Caenorhabditis elegans: one gene and its partner. The protein of the gene in region 1 purifies or fractionates together with the protein of each later gene. This does not show direct contact. Each region holds a gene or a part of one and is shown on either strand. Other genes may lie near its edges. The genes, in order: asic-1 and ttbk-5.

Region 1 (3,927 bases):
CAGATCCATGTCGGGTACCTGGAAAATGAAGAAAGCTCGAGCTCATTTTTTGTTGATAGAAACATCAAACAATTCAAGGAAAACTCACCGAAGTAGACACACAGCCATGTTGTTTAGTACAATTACAATGCGAGTAGACAGCTAGTAGACCCTCATATCTACTGAGAAGACGCTCATGGACTTTCCTCTCGGGAGTTCTTCTTTTTCGTTTCTGAAAGTTGAATATCTAGTTAAAGGTGGGGTAGCGCCAGGGAGAATTTTGCCAAGAATGGTCTAATTTTTTAAAAATGATTTTTGATAATTTTCAGTTGAGTTGCCAAATTATCGGAAAATTTGGATTTCAAGAATTTTAGAATAATACCTGTTTTTCAAACGCTTGCAATGCCTGGATGCAAATTAGAATTGGCTCAATGTCTGCCGTTTTTTAAGGAGATCTCTGCATGCCTGCCTCCTGCCTACACGTTGCCTACTGAACCCTAGTAAAATCACCTTAACATTTCCCTTAATTTGAAAGCAATTTCCATGATGACAGATACAAGTTTTTGAGTCGATTTCTTCTTCCAAATCCATATCATCAGACTCTTCACACTTGCCCAACCAATCACAGTTACTACACGTGGATACTTGAAATTTTTGAGCAGATGCACAATATCTGGGACCACTGGATTCAGGGGAAATGCAAAGTTTTGTGCCGTTTTTGGAAAGTTGAAGTGGCCACACCAGTTGTTTCTGGAATTTTTTGTTTGATAGAGAATAGTCTGAAATGTTCAAGTATACTTATAACGATGCAATTTTTAAAACTTCATTTTTTCAAAAATTTCACTACAATTTTGCAAATATATTTTTGAATTATTTGAACTGCTGCGCAAATTGGGTACTGTATTACGGCTAGAGCACGGCAAATTTTGAAAAAGCGCATTTGCCGAATTTGTCGAACTCGGCAAATTTTCATATTTGCCGCATTACGACCTATTTTTTAGTTTGTTAAAATAAAATTTAAAACATTTTTCGAGTTATATTTATTTGAAAGAAGACAATTTTAAATCTTTTATATATCCATTCCGACAATTTTAGACAATTTTCTACCTCCAAACTTACCGTAACCTCATCCGAAACACAAGTGTCCTCAAAGCATTTACACGTTTTCAATTGATTGGATCCCTCTGCCAAGTGGCAAATTTTATGTGTCCAATCTTTTCTTTGGTGACAATTCCAGAATATTTCATCATCGTCGGTGTCACCAACTTTTGACATATCCTCAAAAGTGACACATGTCTGAAAATGGGAATATTAGAGGGATTTCGTAAGGAGTCTAAGTCTAAAAATCGATTTGCCTGGAAAAATGGTATTGTGAAATAACTGTGCTATAACATAAGTAACTGCGCAAAACCTTGCAAAATTCAATTACAATTTTGATTAGAAAGCACCGACCAATCAGTGAAGTGCTTTGCTTGTCGCTGATTGGTCGGCATGGGAAAAACTCTACTTACACATTCCACGTGCCCATAATCATGAGCAGTAAACATTCCGTGCTCCTCCTTACACAGTAAATCTATCGGGACCATTTTTGAATTAGCTGATCGCTTTTTCCTTTTTGAATGTGCATTCCCATCACTTTTATCAATTGCTAGCTCGAATGCTTCAATCTGAATATCTAGAATTTAGAATTTTTCTAATATCAGCTAAGGTCTGACCGCGTTTCGAATTGCTCCGAGTTCTCGAGCCGCCGAATTTTTATAGGGATTCATGTTGCAGATTGTCACCGCTGGGAACTTGATCTCTTCGAATTTTATTTCCACGCCAACGATTATATCGTTCCTCGAATTAGAAAAATAATGTGTAATTCCAAAAATTTCCAATTCCTACCTATTAAACCTCTCCACAATTAAATAAGCTTGATGTCCGAAACAAGAAAGACAGAAAAGGAAACAAAGAAGCCACATATACCTCCTCCATCCAGTTGAAACGTATGCTCGAGGAATTCCATGAGCACTCGTGTGCTCCGCAAAGTCAACGACATCAAGTTCAAGGGCCCGTTTTAAGCTGTTCTTTCCCATTTGGTGGCCTGAAATTTGATCAAAAATTGCCAACTATGAAAAAATTAGTTCTTATACATTTTTGAAGTTGAAAAGTATTCGATATCATCAAAACTAAAAAAAGATACATGAGTTAAAAATTTCATGAGGAGGAACACATCTCCTTTTTTGGCTCGCCTGCCTACGTGCCTACCAACCATCCGGTATTTATTGTCTGTAGACTTACGAATTTTTTAGATTCTGCCAGTCAAAATTTTGAAGAGATTTTTTTGGAAATTTAAGAAACAACGAAGAAAAAAAGTATATTTTTAAAATTGTAGGCACGGGAGGAATACGCGGGATGCAGGCGCAGGCGCAGAAAACGTTTTGAGCCTACATAGAACTTTTGCAACTCTCTGATGTTTTTTGAAAAAATTGTATTTAACCGGTTTCTTTTTTCAAGGTAAGAAACAATTCTCAAAAAATGAGAACAAATGCAACTTTGAACCCGAATATGTCAGAAAAGAAGAAGAAATGTATCAAAAATGAGTGTAATTGTCGGTTGAATACAAGGACCACTGTGGACTTATTCCGGAAACAAGCAATCTGTTTACCTCTTGTCTGTTTCTAGAGACCCAATGACCATATTTATTTGATGGAAAATGAGAAGAAAGCGTGGAAACATGGTGCAAGGAGAGGAAAATTACTTATATGTAGGCAGGCCTAATTCATGCCTGCCTATCGTTTGAAAATATTGCTTGCATACAATTAAAATTTGATGATTGACAAGACGATTTGAAATATCACAAAAATTTTGCTTGCATTTGTCAGGGGACTTCAAAGAGCTAAACAAATCAAGCCATTCGGTAAGATATATTTGTTTTGCTATTTTTTTCTCAAACGTGCGATATATGTATAAATTGTCATAGGAACTCTAGTATGAGAAAAAATGAAACAAAAGTTTGCAAAGTGGGACTATATTTTCATAGTGCAAAAATTCCTAAGCATTGTAGAGGTAACAGTATTACTATATAATTTTTTGGCAACTAATCATAGAAGTATTTTACACCCATATGAAATTTAAAAAAACATTTGAATTATCAAAATATGCTAGTAATAATTTTTATTAACGACCTAATATGTTTTTTCAAGAGTATTTTGAATTTAACAATTAAAATAAAAGAAAACATTGTTCAGTAAAATGTATGTATATAGTTCTAAGTCTACAAAAAGTATCAGATTTATATTTCCAGCAATGTTCGGTTTTCAATATTTCCGGCAATCGGCGATGTCGGCAACTGCTGGTTTTGGGAATTTACGGCAATCGGCAAAATCGGCGATTGCCCAAATTGCCAAATGGCAATTGCAGCGCACCCTCGTAAAACATAGTTTTCACCAATAATTATTCTGGATGGAGACCAAAAAAATTTTTTTTAATGGGGTTCGACGCACAACTCGGATATTTTATTTAAACTGTAGCTATCCGCAAAAGGTTTTGCATGGAAGTTCAGAATTCAAAACTCATTTTCAAGAAAACTTCAGCGTAAACTCCAAAAAAGTCAGAAGTAGTAGGCAGACTTTTTGTGACACACAGAAAAACAAGAGGACTAGGGAGGTGGGCGCTCACTTTTCAAAAAGTAATCCAACTAACGAGTATTTCCTCGTCTTTTCTATACTTCTACCCTTCGAGACGAATAGTAAGTGACAATCAGGTTCCGTTTTTCAACTTTGTCTCTCCTCCAGGTTTTCGACTTCATGCATTTTTCATTGTTTTCCGCGAATCAATGTCGTTTTCACCTCTGTTTTAGATTGCACTTTTTTGGAGTGAGAAGGGTTACACGTCAGGATTCGGAGGAAAAAGAAACAAAACACGAAAATGTAGGATTACTTTGAACCCTTGAACTGAAAACCA
Region 2 (3,927 bases), on another chromosome or scaffold:
GGAGTGCACAATTTCAGACGTACGCTCCTGCATGCCTACGCGATTTCCTGATTATCTGCATGTAGTCACGCCTACGTGCCTACCAACATATGTGCCTGTATGACGCCCTTCTACCTATGTGTATACAACCATTCTGCATGTTTGTTCTATCTAAATTTTTTTTTCAAATTCGCGTTCCTACTCATGCCTACAAATATAAGTCCCTGCCTGCCTATGTGCCTACCTGTCGACGTGCCTGTCTTACTAAATAGTCGATTTGAAAGCTTGATATGTGAAAGATCGGACTCTCTATTCCTAAATAGCCCCATAACCAGGTTGTTTCAAAATTTTCCAAACACACCGGCTTTAGGAAATTTTTTGATCCTTGGAAATAACATTACCAAATTATCTTTCGAAATTATTGTACTCTATCTTTTCAAAATTCACTTAGTTTTGAGACATGTAGTGAAGTGTCTGAATCTCTGATTTTGTTATAAGACCACGTGATAAAATTTATCAATCTGAATGTCAACATATTCCATACAACTACTAAAGCTACCAAATAACATGATTCAGAATGTTAAACTGATTATCACTTACACATATCATTATCCCACAATTTGACAGTGGCATTCCTAACTGGGCGTCCTCCACACATTAATTTCCCTTTTACGCCGACTGCCTGTTTTCTTCCAATTGCACGAACTTTGTCAATAAAACGAACTGGCGGCTTCTGAGTTGCAATTAATTCAATTACTTCATCTGTTTCAGATGCATTTGCATTGATTTCATCGAGATTTGAAGCATTGGAGAATGTCAAAAGGATTGTGGCGAATAGTAGAACAATCAAAACTTTCATGATTTTTTGTTTTAACAAAATTGTGAATGCGCAAACAAAAAAAGTGAAATAACAGAAACAACTTCTTGTCTTAAATGTCTTTGTAATCCTAACATAATCCCGAGAAAACAAAAAAGATTTATTAATAGGTTCAAAAGATTAAAATAACAACGCAACTCTTTGCTTATGTACTTCAAAGTTTCGGTTTTCTCATGAAAATAAGAAAAAGAGTTTGAGAATTTTCTAGAATTTGCAGGACTTTTACAAACATCAACAACCAGTAAACATTTATCGATCAGAAACCAAAAACATTCTGGAGAAATTCAAAGTTCAGAGAGTTTTTCAGAGAGATCATAAGCCTATATGGGCACAACAGGACCTTCCCGCCTACCTAAATTTTACGGTGAAAATGTTTTAGAACATTTTCATGTTACATCCATTTCACCTATTAGGCTTCACCTATGCAGGAAATTTCCTTTTTCCAAATTCAGTAACGCTTGGCTCTGCTTTCAAACTTTAGGAACTTCTATATACTAATTTCAGCATTTTGTATCTTTCTCGAAGCGAACACCCTTTTAATCCACTTTTTCATACAAAAATACAAATTCGATATTTGTATTTTAGAGATCTTTTGAAGTGTTCCAGAATAGTTTGCTTTTCTCTACACAAACGTCAAAGGTTTCCTTCGTCACGATTGCCTAGATATACTTCGTGCCAACGAGAATAGATAAAACTATTTAAATTTAAGTCGTGTAACCTTTGAAATACCCCGTAATCCGACCCTTCGAACTTTCCACGTCTTTATCAGAAATACAATCAGAATCGATATTCAAAATCAGTTTCGAAAATTTCCAATTCTCCGCGTAGCAGAAGGCAGCTAAAAAGAAAAAAGTAGCCGATAGAAATAATAATGGCTGTCGATAAGAAAGAAGAGGAAAAGGATCCAATGGACAATGTTCGTTTTAAAATTGGCAAACGGTTAGTTTTTTATCGGAAAATCACACATTTTCCTACGAGGGTTTTGCTCACTGCATCATTTGGAAACTTGCCCAAAGTGGAGTTTTAGAGACAGTCCAGTGAAAATGCTCTTACCTATTTAATGAGCGCGGCTGAGTTTTTCCTTTTGGCGAACACGTAGCAAAATCCAAAATCTTGTTGCTCTGCCCATCTACATTCAAACAAATTGGTTTATACTTGAGCAGTATGCCAATTTGATTTATAGTGGCCTGATTCCTACGTGTCTCCTACAATCTCTAATTTACAGTTTCGGTTCGTATACAATAGAAAAATCTTTGGACGAAGGAGGATTTGGTCAAGTTTACCTCGTGAGAGATAATAGTGGCAAGCGATTCGCATTGAAAGCAGAATCGAACGATATGGAAGGAGGATCTGCAATCAAGTTGGAAGCGTTGATTCTCAGAAAATTGAACGATGGAGAATCGGTGATTCATGTGCCGAAACTTCTTCTTTCAGGAAAACGGAAGAAGTATTGTTAGTTTAAAAATATATAATAAATTTTCAGAAAAACATTTGTATTCTTCAGGTTACATGGTAATGACACTTCTCGGCAAGAACTTGAAGTGTCTGAAGAACAAACGACCCAAGGAGAGATTCACACGTGGCACATGGTCCCGGATTGGAATTCAATGTCTGTACGGGCTTAAATACATGCACGACTGTGGATTTGTCCACAGAGACATTAAGCCGCAGAATTTCATGATGGGTAATGAGGATGACAAGGAAAGAGCTAGAATTGTTCACATTTTGGACTTTGGGCTAGCAAGATCTTTTGCCAAGTTTGTGAGTTGTACATCGAGGAATTTTATAATTGGAATAGTTATACCTTTTCCAGAGCGAGTCATCAAAAACTTGGAGTGCTCGTCGTGCTCGTGGAACTGCAGAATTCCGTGGAACACTTCGTTACACGTCCCCAAATGTCCATTTTCGTAAAGAACAAGGTCGAGTCGACGATATCTGGTCTCTACTCTTCGTGCTCATCGAGCTTAATGGAGGGCTTCCATGGCAGAATGTTCAGAAGAGAGAAGAGGTTGAAGCAATGAAAATGATAATGACAGATCAAGATGTTATGTTGAACATGCCTCCTTGTATGTGTGACATCATTCCTCACTTTCGTACACTTGACTGTTACATGAGACCGGATTATCTGTGAGTTGAAAAAACAAAATATTTAAAAAAAAAAGAAGATTTTCAGTTTGGTGTTCAAAGCTCTTTGGCAAGTGATGCTTAATGAAGGACAGACTACAAGCTCTCGCTTCGATTGGGAAACTTCGGATCCAGATGTATAGCTTGCTTGAGATATCTCTTCCTATACATTCTCTTTCAGCCATCAATCTCTCCGGCGGATTGGGAAAATCCAGACGGTCGTTTCTTCAAACTGGACAAAATCGGAATCAATGGACCACCTCCCATGGACAAATGTGCTGCGGAGTCAACTCAACAAGGGGATGCTCTGAAGAGTGATAAGGGAAGATCGGTGAATCAAAAGAAATAGAGATGAAGAAGATAACTTGTGTTTGATTCCAATAAAATGACTTGTGATAATTTCTTGTTTTATTTGTTACAAACTGGTCTTTAACATACCCGAAAGATTTCAAAGTCGGGTGGTCAATTCAAACCAACAATTGAAAATAATTTCGGGCTTGTTCCAATTGTCCGATTAAAAATTGTCTGAGTAGGCACAATTTCATTTTATTGCTTTCAATTTTGACAACTCGAAGACGTTAAAATGTTATAAAATCAAAACTCCAAAACCAAGATTTTTAATTAAGTAGTTTTAATTAAGTAGTTTCATAAAGTTGATAAATGAAGTAACGGGACAATAATCTTGGTTTTGGAGTTTTTTCCCTGAACTTGGAAATGTAAAACAACATAAATCAATTAATATGGTATTGTTTCACAACAAAAACATTGTAAAACTCAAACGAATAGACCGCTCGCTCCCTTTATTGATAGCAATGATTGCAAAAAGAAATTAATGGAGTGGGAGGAGCTAGTTAAAAGGCTCACGTTTAATTTAATAGTTAAAACATTATTTTAGTATTTTGAATGATTTACATTGTTATTATTACAATTGGAATGCAAGTGTCACG

The links.
Region 2: the proteins of asic-1 (region 1) and ttbk-5 fractionate together in Caenorhabditis elegans (co-fractionation; one large-scale study listed by BioGRID). This does not show direct contact.

Annotation. Positions count from the first base shown.
Region 1 is NC_003279.8:3,767,811-3,771,737, reverse strand, and holds the start of asic-1 (Degenerin-like protein asic-1), read right to left. Parts: upstream 2,067-3,927; 5' UTR 2,058-2,066; coding exon 1,867-2,057; intron 1,819-1,866; coding exon 1,695-1,818; intron 1,647-1,694; coding exon 1,491-1,646; intron 1,276-1,490; coding exon 1,099-1,275; intron 730-1,098; coding exon 490-729; intron 212-489; coding exon 89-211; intron 19-88; coding exon 1-18. UniProt on the Caenorhabditis elegans protein: Forms voltage-independent, pH-gated trimeric sodium channels that act as postsynaptic excitatory receptors in the nervous system, playing a crucial role in regulating synaptic plasticity, learning, and memory.
Region 2 is NC_003282.8:10,089,007-10,092,933, forward strand, and holds ttbk-5 (non-specific serine/threonine protein kinase), read left to right. Parts: upstream 1-1,651; 5' UTR 1,652-1,727; coding exon 1,728-1,795; intron 1,796-2,081; coding exon 2,082-2,308; intron 2,309-2,360; coding exon 2,361-2,617; intron 2,618-2,669; coding exon 2,670-2,983; intron 2,984-3,029; coding exon 3,030-3,117; intron 3,118-3,161; coding exon 3,162-3,329; 3' UTR 3,330-3,383; downstream 3,384-3,927. Other genes in the region: ttr-39 (Transthyretin-like family protein), read right to left, coding at 580-838.